Arabidopsis thaliana: one gene and its partner. The protein of the gene in region 2 interacts with the protein of the main gene of each other region in a pairwise test. Each region holds a gene or a part of one and is shown on either strand. Other genes may lie near its edges.

Region 1 (7,151 bases), on a different chromosome or scaffold from region 2:
AAATAGAACAATTAATTTAAAGGGACACTTATTAAATCAGGAGTAGCGATTTGTATTGAATAGACAAATAGTGTCAAATAACTTTTGGAATCAAGGAATAATCACAACCTCATTTTGCGGACAGATGACGTGCTACCGTGCATCATGTTAAGCATACGTTATTCCCTACCTTAAAACCTTCAATGAACTCAGTCACCAAATGTCTTCATGTTCCACCAAATATCTCCACTTTGAAAGATATATGCATATCTACAAACTCTTGGAAGGAATAGTGAATAAAGTTGGTGTTTTGTTTTTTCCTTTTTGATAAAGAGAACAACGTTACGTCGGTGTTATTACTACACTAAAACCAGCATTGGCAGTTTACTAACAACAGATGGAGCAAATCTGTAGAAATCGTGTCTCCTCTAAACCAAGTTCTCTACTAGCTAGGAGAAACCTACCGTCACAGTTTTGTTCCGCAGCTCTAGTTTTGGAAATCCTTCAAATTCATTGTCACCTTAGGTAATCATAAACACACCGAAGAAAGACAACAATCGACAAATCAAGATCAAGTCTACTTTTTTTTCCTTCACAATTTGTGGTCATTTACTCATTTTTAACAAAGTTGAAGTATATTGACGCTAACAACACTTTTATTTTATTCCAAAAAGAAGGATCTACAAGTAATATATGATATATGTTAACAAATTTTTATGTTCATTCTTCAAAATTTATTAATTTTAGAATTGTGGAGAATTGTGTGATTCATAAATCCATAAATAAAAGTGAATAAAATATTGATTTAAGTGGGCTGATATAGTTTTGGCATAAAAGAAAATGGAAAGTGGTGCCTATGGTGGTGGAGAAGTTGTCGATATACAAATAGTCAAAGAAACTCATAAATATGCCATCTCTTAAGGTCAACGGAATTAATGGCCAAGTAAGTAACATAGCCGTTCATGTGTAATGTGTTCGTTACCACTAATTATACTTGTATTACAAATTAAATACATTTATTATCGGCGAACGTAACGTGATAATAATGAGAGCATTCATACTTACATGCTTGCATGTTGAAAGCGAATTGGTTTCCCACACACTCCAAGTCTCCAACCACAATCCCGTTTAATTTCAGCTTAAGTATAATTAGTAATACAACATTTGTATAATTAACAGAAGAAGAAAAAACATCAAGTAATTTTAAAGGTGATTTCTGTTTATCTGAGTTTTTTTTTTTTTTTTTTAGGTTCAAATACTTGTTACTATTTTTTTTAAATCCAATCTGGTTTTAGATAAATTTATGTTTTTTAGAAATGTATATCTTACGTTTTTAGCAAAAATAAGTTTTCTATAGAATAAATAGCATTTAATTTTGTAAGATACCATTGTACTATTAAAAAAACATTAGATTATTTATTTGCGGATCACATTCACATTAAAATCATATGAATCTTTCTTTTTTTTTTTTTTGTCGTCTCATATGAATCTTTTTAAAGCTAACATTTGAACCCCCTTCTTTCTCATTTTTCAAAATATGTTCATCAAACTTCTTTTTGATTGTTTTTCAGTTGTAACCAATTATATTGTTTTGTCACGAAGCTGTCTGAAAAAGTAAAAGAAACTAAAAGTGAAAAAGTTTTTTTTTCCTTTCGATTGAATTTAGTTTTCTTAACTTCAAGTCTTCAAACTAACTGAACTGAGTTGACCAAAAATGTGTTCCTTTGAGAGTGAAAACTGAAACGTATGTTTCTCATGAGCACTTTTAAATTCTGTACATCATTTTTTTTTTTTTTACACAAAGTAATTTCATTTATTAATTGTGTAAATAAATAGTTTGGTCAAATTGAGGCCGGTAGTTTTTAGTCATTCGGCCCATCAAACATCTAATGGATTTTTTCTTTTGACGTCAATGGATTGAAGCCTTAAAGCCCATAATAAATGTAAGTCTAACTATAAACTTATTTCTTTTGGCCATAGCTAGTATTTCTAGTTTCCGAATATCTAAATACTAATTTATAACATGTTTTAACAAACAAGTACAGTATATGTTATATACTATTCAATCAGAAGAAGAAGAAAAACAGATACTTCTTTTGTTTCTGTTCGAGTTAAATCGTATACTATAGGATGATTACATGTAACCGAGAGCGTTGGCCTAACAATTTACCATGATTACCTTGCCACGATCCAATTCGAACTTAAAACAAAAAGAGAAATGTGACATACACGTGGCATTTAGAAAATATCTCATCATCGTTATCATCGTATGATGTGCATGGTTGGTCAATGGTCATAGTTAGTGAGACAAACACCGTGTTGTTTTTATGACTTATGGAAGTGTGTAGAAACCTCCGGCGTTGGATAAGGAAAGTGTGGTGTGCGAGACGTGTAGTAACTAGTAAATAAAATAGTGTGTCGTTTTCATGATAAGGAAGAAGAGAAGTAAAGCACGGCAACAACACTTGTAGAGAGGCAAGAGTACAAGTTGGTACGGAACTTGTGTAGTAGTTTTAGTTGTTTATCATCATTCATTTGTACTTTCTTCTATTTTTCTTCTTCTGTCGCAAAGTTTGTTTACCTTTTTCTAATCAAAATCAAACTTTTAACACTTTTAATTTTGGATTCTCGACAATGACGTCTCCTCCACAACTTGACACCTTAAGACAAGAACATTAAAAAAGTATATACCTTAACATTATTCCTCTTCACGGATACAAGTATACAACTATCACTTTAATCAGAGCTCTGTTATTGCGTAACAATAATTTCAAAACGTGTTTTACGAGACGAATAATACAGAATTGTACTAGAGAAAGTACACAATTTGCTGACAAATTTCCTCAGTTGGACAACTTGCAAGAAGAAGCATCAAAAGAAACCAACTTCAACACTTGAAACAGTGCAAAATCCAGAAGAATTTGACACTTTTATTCATGAATGAAAGATGAAAATAACAAACTTTGGAATCAAAACCAAAAACAAAGAACATAATGATGATAAAACAAAGATTGGTCTTATTATTTCATAAAAAAGAGAAGAAAATTAATCTTAATGGCTTGAGACTTTGAGATTGAAGGATTTGTTGATCCAAGCCTTCAAGCTTCCACCTTTTCTTGCACCATTAATGGTAGAGTCAGATCTTCCATTACTTTCCTCAACCTTCTTCTCCTCTGGTTTCCTACAGAGCATAAAGTTCCTCGCTCCAAGAGATCCAATTGCATCCCATGTGCTTAAAGCTGTCATCAAAACACAACATCAGTCAACCAATTCTTTAAACAGATCATTCACACATAAAGCTAAAAGACATTGGAATTGAGTTTAGTTTACCTTCAGGTCCAACCATAGGACAATAGAGAAGAAAATCATTGAAATCAGATCCAAGAAGAGGAAGACGACCTTCACGAGCGTAACCTTTAAGAGCAGTATCGATAACAGAGGCAACAAGATCATCCTCATAAGCAACAAACCGGATCGGACCGGCACTACCCAAAACCGTAACGCTAATGAGAATCCTATTCCCTTTAGCGTTTTGGTTCTTCTTCTGCTTGTTGTAGAGCAACATCTTCGAAATCGAGAGAACAAAAAACAGAGCAAATCTCACAAGTAACAGAATCAATAAAAAAAGAACCACTTTTTAGGAAATTAGGGTTCCGGGTTGTGAATTTTAGGGGCGAATCGTTCACGGGTCGAGGCCAAGGCAGCGAAAGTACCAGCCTTCTTTGCAAGATCCGAAAGCGAAAACAGAGGATGTCGAGAGAGGAAGAGAAAAGCTCGCCCTTTTGATGGAAAGGGAGAGCGTAAACTTACCACCGATCGGATTAGTTTCCACCATTCACAAACGATTCACACGGAGAGATTTTGATTAACCGGAGAAGACGAGAGAAGAATATGCTTTTTGGTGGTGAAGCAGAGGAGGAGGATTTGATTATTTTTTTTTTCTTATGGGAGAAGAATGTGATTGTTGGTGAGCTAAGAGAGACGGTGAGGTTGTTTATAAAGTAAGGTGGTTAGGTTAAAGGCTTTTTTGGGTAATTTTGAAATTTGAGAATTTTTCCGGTTTTACCTTTTTTGGTGCTTTTGCATACGTGTCTTTTTTTTTTACCAACGTGTAATTAAAAGTTTTTTTTTAAAATATATTTCAAAGCTCAATAAAATCTAAGTAATCTTAATAAATTTTAACTACATAAATGAATATCTAAGAGTATTGATAATACAACAAAAGATCTCCTAAATATAATTGTAAAACATAGAAAAGCAACAGTGTAGTAAATTTGTAATATGAGAAGAGTAAATAAAACGTTATTTAAAGTATTTAAGATAAGATCGAATTTAATATCATACAATCTAAAATTTGTGATAAGGACGAGTTTAAAGAAGAAAACTATTTCTTATTTCTTATGTGTTAATTTTACCAAAAACTTTAAGAAAATGTTGATGCATGTATTAGCAAGGATAACAATTAGTTAAAGATACGGTTTTCATAAAAATTGAAAAGAAATAAATAATTTTTTTTTTAAAAGGAAGAATGGATTAAAAGGTTTGGCAAATAGAAAGGCTAGAAAATCTCTAGCTAAATGTAGTGATGATAATCGATAATTTGATCGTTATGGATTATACCAAATGAATGTTATTCGCCCTTGTTTTTTTTGCTAATATGGTGGAAAAAGTTGTAGCGAAAATTGTGGTAAGTGGTTCATATGTGTTGCTTTTTACGTTTATGTTTTGCAAGTCATGCGAACTGAATTGTATCATTAGATTGACATACACGTATTTAAACTAATAGACATGTGAATGCTATGTAGAGTATCCCACTAAAACTAATCACATAAGATACATTTTACCCTGATGTTAAGAACATAAAAACAAGCGCAAACACAAACAAATTAATATTTTGAGGTATTAGTTGTGTGCGGTGTGCGGGCTATATAGGGAAGGTGATGAAAATAGATTTTAGGTTGGGACTCTTAAACATATCGGACTCGCTTGTTTTTGTTTTTCTTGGGGGTAAAATATGAAAGTGATAAAAATAGAAAAACGGTCGCTATCGAAGTTGAGCAACATGAAAAGAGCATCACGTGTCATTCGTTAGGCCATTGTTGTCCTGATCCTTGCTGTTTTTAGCTTCCGCCGATCCAAACCTCCCCCATATTAAACTTGAAAGGTTACACGTTTCTTTAATTCTAGGACTTTAAGTTTTAAAAGTCTTAGAAACCTCAAACCTCATCTATATGGAATATAGTTGTGGTATTTCAGAGTATTAAAAAAATGAACGTTGAGGAGAGTTGTACCAAAATTTATCTTTTAGGCGTGATATTTCTTAGATAGATATACGCAACATTTATCATGGTTATCGACAACTTTAGTTTGATTTTTGGCATATACCTAAAATTTTGTAATTTTCTAAGGACTTGGTTCTAATTAAGAGGCTCGTCCGCTAGGCGCTAAGCATGTTTCATGTATGTTCTTCATTGTCTTTTATTAACTTTTCGAAGCGTTGAAATTCACTTCTTTAACATGAATTGGGGATTTAATTTTGGAGTTAGGTGGATTTAAGTCATAGAAAGAAGAAAACCTGTCATTAATGTGAACGAAAAAATGTAACATCTATAAAAAATTGATTTGTATAAATTGGTTTGTAAGTCTCTAAAGATGAAATTGAGTCAAATCCTTTTTTTAGCTAATCGAATTTAATAAATTGACAAACGCGTTAAGTACTAGAGAAACAAAATAAACATGATTAGCTAGCAACGGCGGAATATAAACTCTATAAAGATCACGAATCCTTTCGCATCGATATCTTAATTGCCGTATGAACAGTATAATTAATCTTCTCATAATATGGTTATTATACTAATAAATTATATGTATAGCCTTGTAGGTAAATGGAATTATTATGGAAACAGAATCAGGTGCAGAGAACCATAATGGGCCATGATCTTGAATGGTGCAGAGCCAATTCAAAATCATATTATGACTAAAGACAGAGAGCACATGACTCACGGATAGGACCAGAAGTATAGAGAGGTCGTAATTCAGTTTAAGAGAAGACAGCTATCGATCTCATTTCATATGCATTATGATCTCTGGTACATCTCTATATATATCACCTAACTTCGTCTTATCATATCAGCTCCTCCTCCATGTCTTATCCTGAGTCGCCCATTGTGTCACAAACCGGTTAACCTAATTGTATGATTGATCGTGTTTGCAACCATTTATACCCTAAATGTTGATTACCTCGTTAATAATATGCCGTAGATTTTATTAATATGTATATGTGTGTACCAAATTACAACGCTAAATGAATTTTAAATCCTTGGCAGAAAAACAGTTCACAATTTTATATCCTTTGTTAAATTTAGGTTGTCGTGTCCACATTGTATGATCTACTCATAAGCTCATAGCATCGAGTCATTGACATCAACTCATTGTTCTGGATAATACAATTGATTATACATGTGTCACACCTGATGATAACTTTTAGAATTTTTAAACGTGATTTTATACGGACATCTAGATTTGTTTGGATTTCAATTTAAATTGTTTTTTTTGGTTTATATATTTAGTTATTTACATGTTGGTTAGTGTTTTATTTTATGTAAGATATTTTCTTACAATATCTGTATATCTATCCACATCTAATACATTTAGATTTTAAAATATCACATACGGTTAGGATTTGTATTCCCTCAGTCAAAGACAAAGGAGTGGGCATATAGTATTTATACCCTATAAGTAATAACAGGTCATTTAAAAATTTGAATAGCTTATTCCAAATTAATTTCATCCATAGAAAAAAACCTAATTAATGTGACAGCTGAGCTGACCATATATTGTTTTTTTTGGCACAACCATTGTGTTTATATAAATCTTATGATTTTATTTCAAACGTACGATAAGGATTTAGGAAACGAACAAATAAAATGGGAAACGGCTCCTCTTTAATTATTGACCAGCCATTCTGTGTCTGTTCAATTAGCGACTAGCCAGATTCCCAAATTTCCTCATTGTCCATTGATTTCAATTATACGCCAACTCTTCTAGATTCAGAGGTAGGTCCATGAACTTCAACATGACACACGTTATTTTACTTATCTCAGTCTATATCGTACCAATTGCTCCATATTATACAATATCTTATAACTCTAAATGTCAGTCGCATCTAAGAT
Region 2 (8,692 bases):
CCAGTATAATTGACTTTTACTGATAGGATCTTGATTCTTGAGTCCATATTACTTTTTTTTGTCGGCAAGTCAGTCTTACTTTAATGGAGTTTTAAGTGAAATCGTGTAACCCCAAGAAAAGTCCGGTTTAGAGTGTAATATCTATGAAGTTTAAACCGATGCAGCTTTCTTGGAAAAAAAGAGGAGAGTTTCATTATATGTATAAACTCAGAAATCATCTTCTACACTTGCAAACTCAGGCATTCTAATAGTAGAGGTGAATACATACCAAAAACCATGACATAAGCAGCTTCAAGAAGCCAACAAAGCTTCAACTTTAGCTATCTGTTCTTCCTCGGTGGCTTTAGCTGGACTCTTGTTCGCCTCATCGAACAAGTCATGGTCCCATTTCTTCTCATTCCTTGTCCAGCTTCCGCTAAACCCACTTCGCCCATTGCCGTTGAATCTGTCTCTATCAGCTTGATAACTCTGTCTGCTTCCCGCGCCTCTTTCATCATCTCTGTTCCACACTCTGTCTCTTCCCATTGCTGGTCTCTCATGTCTTTCTGAATGCGTATTGCTCCTCCAGTTCCTCTCGTTCTGTCTGCGATTGTTTAGATTAGTGTCTTTTCCATCCTCAGTTCTTGTTCTGTCTGTGTTGTTCCCAGTTTCCTCTGCAATCTTCTTCTCCCTGAAGGCTGGTCGTTTCCTAGAGAGTGCTCCTTGGGTGTCATCACTCTCACGGAACCTATCATGTCGCCATGAGCTTTTGTCTTCGTCTTTACGATGCTGTGACTTCTCATCATCTCCAGCTCTTCGGTTACTCTGATCTCTTGAACTTCTCCACGATCCTCTCACTTCAAACATTTAAAAGCAAGTAATATGTTCATAAGACCTACCAATATTATTAAAGACATATATTTTTGCTTATGTAATGAAGAGAAGGAAAGAGTAAATTTGGCGAGAATTACCAGAAGTTGGTCTTCTATCAACTTTTCCATCACTACGACGATCATCATGCTGTTATAAGACACGCACAGGCAAGCCAAAGATTACATATGACTGAGCATTGGGAGGCATTCAACTGTATGCAATAATTCCATCACATGAGCACAGATTAAAGGCTAACTATGCAGTAAATAGCAACCCAGCAATTGATTTTTAACAAGCAGATAAATGGCCAAATATTAACTCTTTTAGCCATTTCATTCCAGCAGATCAAAAACTTGCAAGACCTCCTATGACCACACATCTACTAAGGACAGTAACAAAAAGAACGTTATCAGATGGAAAATAATCAAGGTTGTTTTGGAACCTGAGAATATGGTCTAGAACGAGGTACTTGTGACAGATGGGGAGCTGCTTTGGTGGTCTCATGATGTCCAGAGTGCTTCTTCTCACTGTCTTTTCTCGAACCATGAGCATCAAGTTCCAATGGAGCATCTCTCAAAGACTGACGTGAGTTTTTCTCAGTGTCAGTACCATCTCTAACATCCAAATCCTTCTTACTCAGAACTCGTTCAGCTTCAGGTTTGCCATCTCTTCTTGATCTCTTAGGGCTAAAGACAAAAACATAAATGATTAGTTGTACAACTGTGATAAGCTACCAAAATCAACTAATTGTGCCTATCAGTAAAATTGACCATCTTCAGAAAAATCTCCACTGTTCGAGAGTGAATGTGACCAAATTAGAGTAGACAGATCAACATAGGATGATTCAAAAAACAATCACTTCAACACTAAATTCAGCTTTCATTTCGATTTCTAGACAAAAGACACTATGAGCTTCCTCGTTGTTCAAAACCGAATTTTATTTGCTTCAAAGTTATAATAGAAGATGAAGATAGAGCAGGAATCTCCAGAAGAAGAAGACCTGGGTTCGCGATCGATTCTAGAACGGTGACGTCTAGGGTCTGAATCTCTGCTTTCTCGCCTCGTCGACATGTTTCTCTCACCGAAGAAATTTTAGGGCTTTGCTCTTCTCTCTTCCCACGCCTGCCTGCAACATTTTATCTAATTTTCCCGTCAGAAATTGTCAATTTCCTCAATATTACAGTTTCCGCCTTATATTTCTTCAAGTATCAGAAAAAACCCCATAAGTTAGAATTGTGCACAGAAACGATCTGCGATACCATTATAAAATCCGGTTCTCTAATCAGTCTATATCTAAATTTTGATGTCGAAATAAGCAAGAAGGAAACTATGCAATTTGCTCTTTTATTAAATCGAAAGAAATGCAAATAGTGAAGGAGACGGATAAAAAAAGGTTTGAGAGTAGTAAAGATCCTCAAGAACAAAGGATATACATAAAAGTCTTGTTAGCTTAAATAGATTTGTGGCAATGCGACATTATTCTCCTCTCCCAATATGTTGTTGGTCGACTCATTCAAGAAGGCGCTTGTACTTGCACCACCCGATGGCACCAACGTAGAGGCATATACTGCCGATAGAACCTCCAATCACAGTCCAAATGAATCTACTTGGACCATGTTTATTATCCGTGAACAACTCTATGGTTATATTCATACCAAATACACCAGCAACTGCGATAAAGGCGCTCATCACCAGAGTAGCTGTTGTTAGCATCACACCCATCTGCAGAAGATGATTCTGCTTGTCATCTAGCATTATGTTGATGTAGTCCTCCGTGTCATCCACATATTCCCTTAGCTTTTTTCATCATAACAACAACAAAAACCACAATGTATTAGAAGAAGGATATCATCACGACAAAGAGTACCAAAGCATCTGGTCTATTTACTTACTGTTGATAGTTTGTTCAGTATACCATCGATCTGCACGAAATATGCTTCCAAAAGCATTTCAAGCTCTTCCACATCTAATTTGTTGGTCATGGCACTCCGGGTTGAGCTTGTGTGAGTCCCACGGCTATTTCTGCTAAGTGCACTTTGAGTACTCATAAGAAGCTCGTGAGCATCATTTGCTTGAAGATACCTTCCATCTCTGTTAGCCTCTGATGCAAATTCGGGAGGAAGCCTGGAGTAAAAAGGCAGATGTTAAACTTATATCAGAACAATAGAAGGTACTGCAAGCTCAGAAAGTTGATACATGCCTGTCATCCTCATCTCCTTGAGGAAGATCAACCTCGAAGGTATCACTCTCATTCATAGAGGAATTTGACGAATCCTCAAGTTTCTGAGCTAACTTCTCTGTAAGATACATCTCAGCCATATCTTCATCATCGTCTAGCAGATGTTCTAGCTCATCCCTCACCTAGAACATGTAAAGAGAAAAAGTGTTATTAGTATAGGCAAACGTGGTTAGAATATGGTGATGTCATAGGTTCACATCTATAAGGAAACATGATAAATCCTTATCATAATATCAAAGGAGCCATTTTAATGTCCGAATCATAGCACCTTCTGAACACGTCCAGTTATTGCAACCAGCCTGCTTTTAATCTGTCGAACCCGCTCCAAATTAAGGGTACTGATCTTGGAAGTAAGCTTGTCCAGGGCTGGATGAGCCTCTAACTCCAATCTTAAGGCCTACATTAGAAGAATGAATCAAATACCAAACAAGAGAAGAAATATGCTTTGTCTCAGAGCCTTAACATAAGTATTTACCTCATGTTCCAAACTGCTTGATGCAGCTTCAAGACAGGCTTCCAGAGCAACAAACTCAAATGGAAGAACCTTCGATCCATCTTGATTCTCAAGACTTTGCTTCGCATCCTTCTTGGCTTCACTCCCTTGATCCCCAGAAGATTGTTCCGTTCCAGCTTCTCCTTGGGCAGGATCTACCCTCGTATGAGGCTCTCCCCCAGAGTTCTGCTCCTCCTTTACACAACACATACAAAGAGAGTATATAGTCAACCATAGCTAAACTGACAACCATAATCTTCACATATCATCACCATTGCACAAATCAAATAGTCAACCATGTCTCAACAATACATTAGCTATTATATACATATTCCATTGTCAAGCGAAAATATTTCTACTTCCCAATTCCAAAACAATGCAATTAGGCACAAACAAAAGGAGACAATACAAAAGCCAACTCCTTGAATAAACAAAAAGAGCTCCAAATGAACAGTGGGAAAACCCTAAATTCTCCAATTACCTGAGGTTTAGTGGCGTGATGGTGACAGAGAATCCGCCTCTGCAACTCATCAATAAAGGGTGAGACCGAAGGATCCTTGGAATTAAGCAACAAAACTTCTTGAGCAGTGATGATTGCCTTGATATGCTCCAAATTGATGACAATCGCTCTCTCTCTACCTAAAACAGTAGATGGATACGACAACAGTGGATCGAGAATCCTAAGATCACGCGCCGGTAATCCCGTTCGCCGCATGATGGAGTGTTTCCCTTCTTCCTTCGGCTCCGATTGCCCTGACGAGTTAAGTACCAACCACGTCCTCACGCCAACGCCTTTTTTCCTTCCACCGCCGCCGCCGCCAACACCGGCGGGGTACGTCGGTGTCGGCTGACCAGTGTTTGGCGTTGATGGATTCGTACTAAAATTGAATTCATCGGGTCTAGCTCCTCTCATCGCTTATGATTGTTGTGATCAGAGAGAGATCGAGCAGCTGAGGAATGTTGGAAGTGAAAATTGGGGAATTTATATTCCGGCTCGTCCACCACAAAGGACAAAAACGGTTAAGACAAACCGGTTTTTACTTTTCCCCCAAATATCAAAATCAAACCGGGTTTAGATTTTCCACCAAAAACCAAACCGGTTTTAGCTTCTTCTTTGAATTTTTGTTGTGACGGAGGGGATTTGCTTTAAAAGTTTAGGGCTTTTAAAATCGGCGACGGCGAGCGGAGAATTCCCAAGGAAGAGTCGATGAAGTTGAAATCGGTGTTCGATGCTTCGGAAATCAAATCGGAATTTGAATCAGCGGGAATAAACCCTAAATTCGCGATTCAAATCTGGAAGTATGTAATTCAGAATCCTGATTGCGTTTGGGACGAGATTCCTTCATTGCCTTCCGCTGCATACTCTCTTCTCCATTCCAAGTTCAAGACTCTTACTTCGTCTCTTCACTCGCTATTTCATTCCTCCGATGGCACCACCTCAAAGCTTCTCATCAAGCTCCAGGTACTCTATACTCTGTTACTGTATACAACACATTGCTTTTATGGATTCTGAAAAACTTGTAATGTCTCTGTTTCCTGACGAACTCATATTGGATTCTTGCTTTTGGTTTTGAAATTGAAGAATGGAGCTTTTGTGGAAGCTGTGGTAATGAGATACGATACTCGGTTGGGGATGTTAGGAGGGAAACCACGTCCTGGAGGTATAAGATCTACGTTATGTATTTCATCTCAGGTATTGATTTTTATCACGCAATGTTATCTTGGTTTTATCGAATGAAAGACATGTGATGTGAAAGTATTTATCAATAGGTTGGTTGTAAGATGGGTTGCACATTCTGTGCTACTGGTACCATGGGATTTAAAAGCAATTTAACATCTGGAGAAATTGTGGAGCAGCTTGTTCACGCCTCTCGCATTGCTGATATACGCAACATCGTTTTCATGGTATATTTCTGCTTCTGTTATTGCATTTTATCTACACTATGTGCACCTTGCCTTATGGTTATTTATTTTATATACTCTGCATTGATGAATTTTATTCACCAGTTGTTGCCTTGGTTTGATGATTGTGATCAGGGAATGGGAGAACCTTTAAATAACTACAATGCTGTTGTTGAAGCTGTTCGTGTCATGTTAAACCAACCATTTCAGCTGTCGCCCAAAAGAATTACCATATCAACTGTAAGTACTCAGAAAGCTACCTTGAAACATTCGTAAAACAGAGAAACTTATTCACTGAATTTTGTAGGAATACTTTAGATTATGGAATTTGATAAAGGGAACTGATAGATAAACTTCAATCCATTAAACCTCGCAGTATGCAGCTTCCAAGACATCTTTCAGCTTTTTTTGTCTAGTTGGTTACTTTTAAATTTTGGTGTTTTGGGATTTTCTTCTGATTTCCTTGTCCTTCCGTAATGCTTGTACCGTATATTCCAGGCATAAATCTAAATCATGCAATGCTGCCTGTGTTGACACTTTTTTTTACTAGTTAGCAAATAAATTTCCCTGTATCCTAATGTCATTTGCATAGGTCGGAATTGTTCACGCAATTAACAAGCTACACAATGATCTACCCGGTGTAAGTTTAGCAGTATCCCTCCATGCACCAGTTCAAGAAATCCGCTGCCAGATCATGCCAGCAGCTAGAGCCTTTCCTTTACAAAAGCTTATGGATGCACTTCAAACTTTCCAAAAGAACAGGTAGTTCATGTACTCTTGACTGGTTCGTTGCTGTTAAATATTAAAACCACAATCCCTTCAGTTACATTGACGATTATAACATTATGCCACATTGTCATTGGATTTAACAGTCAACAAAAGATCTTCATTGAGTACATAATGCTTGATGGAGTAAATGATCAAGAGCAGCACGCTCATCTACTAGGCGAATTGCTAAAGACATTTCAAGTGGTAAATCTTCGATGTCTTAATACTCTTAAAGGTTCTGCAATTATCTGATGATATTTTTTATGGAAACTCTGTGCTCTTTTCTTGAACAGGTCATAAATTTGATACCATTTAATCCAATTGGATCCACAAGCCAATTCGAAACAAGCAGCATACAAGGCGTGTCAAGATTCCAGAAAATCCTGAGGGAAACATACAAGATCCGGACTACAATTCGCAAAGAAATGGGTCAGGATATTAGCGGCGCTTGCGGTCAGCTAGTGGTGAACCAACCAGACATCAAAAAGACTCCTGGAACTGTGGAACTTAGAGACATAGAAGATCTGCTTCTCTAACTTTAGGACCAGAGACATGAAACAGACATTTGGAATGGTTGTGTAGTATCTTTGAAGCCACTCTTCAAAACCCTTTTCTTAAACTTCACATTTTGTCCTCTCATCACTTTGTGGAAAACACTTGGCTCACTCTTATATGCAAGACAAACAGAGATGGTCCTTGGTCCTTCCACACTATCACATGGAGGTTTAACTTCTCTTATAAAATATTCACCAACAAGTGATGTTATGTCATCGTTAAAGTTGGAAGTAAATGTTAAACTTTAATTTTAATGAAGTAAATAGTAGCTAATTAGCTTCTCTTCCCGCCTATAAAACTAGCTCCTCACTCTGTCTTCTATTCCATAAGAGTAAAAAAAACAGAGAGATGAGTATTAGAAGATTTGTGCGTCTCTCTCTGCTAATCATAGCTCTAGTTTCATCACTTTGCGAGTCTCAAAAGAACTTTGCGTGTGACATAAGTGCCCCAGCGACGGCTAAGTATGGTTTCTGCAACGTCTCATTGTCGTATGAAGCACGTGCCAAAGATTTGGTCTCACGTCTCTCCCTTAAGGAAAAAGTCCAGCAACTCGTAAACAAAGCCACAGGAGTTCCAAGGCTCGGTGTTCCGCCGTACGAGTGGTGGTCGGAAGCTCTCCATGGCGTCTCCGACGTTGGACCAGGGGTAAAAACATCATTACTGTATATAGATGAATACGAACATACATGAGTTGTTATGTAATGAAAACGCTAACGTTTTGAGTTGTTTCTTAAGGTGCATTTCAACGGGACGGTGCCTGGAGCGACGAGTTTCCCGGCGACAATATTAACGGCGGCTAGCTTTAACACATCGTTGTGGCTAAAAATGGGAGAAGTGGTATCGACGGAGGCTCGAGCGATGCACAACGTAGGACTAGCTGGACTCACCTATTGGAGTCCCAACGTTAACGTCTTCAGAGATCCGAGATGGGGTCGAGGCCAAGAGACACCAGGAGAGGATCCTCTCGTTGTTTCGAAGTACGCTGTGAACTACGTTAAGGGCTTACAAGACGTTCACGACGCCGGTAAATCACGGCGGCTAAAGGTTTCAAGCTGTTGCAAGCATTACACAGCTTATGATCTTGATAACTGGAAAGGCATCGATAGATTCCACTTTGATGCCAAGGTAATATATAAATACGTAAGTTTCAAGACCTTATAATTGACCTTAATGTTGATGGATTTGTTATTGTTTTGGTGGGAAGGTAACGAAGCAAGACTTGGAAGACACGTATCAGACGCCATTCAAGAGTTGTGTAGAGGAAGGAGATGTGAGCAGCGTAATGTGTTCTTACAACAGAGTTAATGGTATCCCAACTTGTGCAGACCCTAATCTTCTTCGTGGAGTTATCCGTGGCCAATGGCGTCTTGACGGGTACATAGTTTCGGATTGTGATTCCATCCAGGTCTATTTCAACGACATTCATTACACCAAGACACGTGAAGATGCAGTTGCTCTCGCCCTCAAAGCAGGCAAAAATCTTTAGATGATCATCTCAAAACAATTATTACATTAGATATGTCATTTTGATCTTTGAGAAGTAAAATATGTTGTTTTGTCTGGAAACAGGTTTGAACATGAACTGTGGAGATTTTCTAGGTAAGTACACAGAGAATGCAGTGAAGCTTAAGAAACTGAACGGATCAGATGTTGATGAAGCGCTGATTTACAACTACATTGTTCTCATGAGGCTCGGATTCTTCGATGGAGATCCAAAGTCGCTTCCTTTTGGTAATCTTGGTCCGTCTGATGTTTGCAGCAAGGATCATCAAATGCTTGCGTTAGAAGCCGCAAAACAGGGGATTGTTCTGCTTGAGAACAGAGGAGATCTTCCGTTACCGAAGACCACGGTTAAGAAACTTGCGGTTATAGGGCCAAATGCA

What was found.
Region 1: the proteins of MGT4 (region 2) and AT1G70780 interact in a two-hybrid assay, tested with the Arabidopsis thaliana proteins (one large-scale study listed by BioGRID).

What each region holds. Positions count from the first base shown.
Region 1 is NC_003070.9:26,692,432-26,699,582, forward strand, and holds AT1G70780 (uncharacterized protein), read right to left. Parts: upstream 3,962-7,151; 5' UTR 3,545-3,961; coding exon 3,310-3,544; intron 3,219-3,309; coding exon 3,031-3,218; 3' UTR 2,735-3,030; downstream 1-2,734.
Region 2 is NC_003074.8:6,816,774-6,825,465, reverse strand, and holds MGT4 (magnesium transporter 4), read right to left. Parts: upstream 4,541-8,692; 5' UTR 4,498-4,540; coding exon 4,066-4,497; intron 3,780-4,065; coding exon 3,567-3,779; intron 3,489-3,566; coding exon 3,360-3,488; intron 3,214-3,359; coding exon 3,053-3,213; intron 2,977-3,052; coding exon 2,745-2,976; intron 2,650-2,744; coding exon 2,362-2,649; 3' UTR 1,999-2,361; downstream 1-1,998. Other genes in the region: AT3G19650 (cyclin-like protein), read right to left, coding at 292-836, 951-999, 1,295-1,538, 1,853-1,923; AT3G19630 (Radical SAM superfamily protein), read left to right, coding at 4,792-5,046, 5,167-5,277, 5,355-5,489, 5,622-5,726, 6,079-6,248, 6,359-6,458, 6,548-6,790; AT3G19620 (Glycosyl hydrolase family protein), read left to right, coding at 7,158-7,454, 7,545-7,934, 8,014-8,281, 8,379-8,692. UniProt on the Arabidopsis thaliana protein: Magnesium transporter that may mediate the influx of magnesium.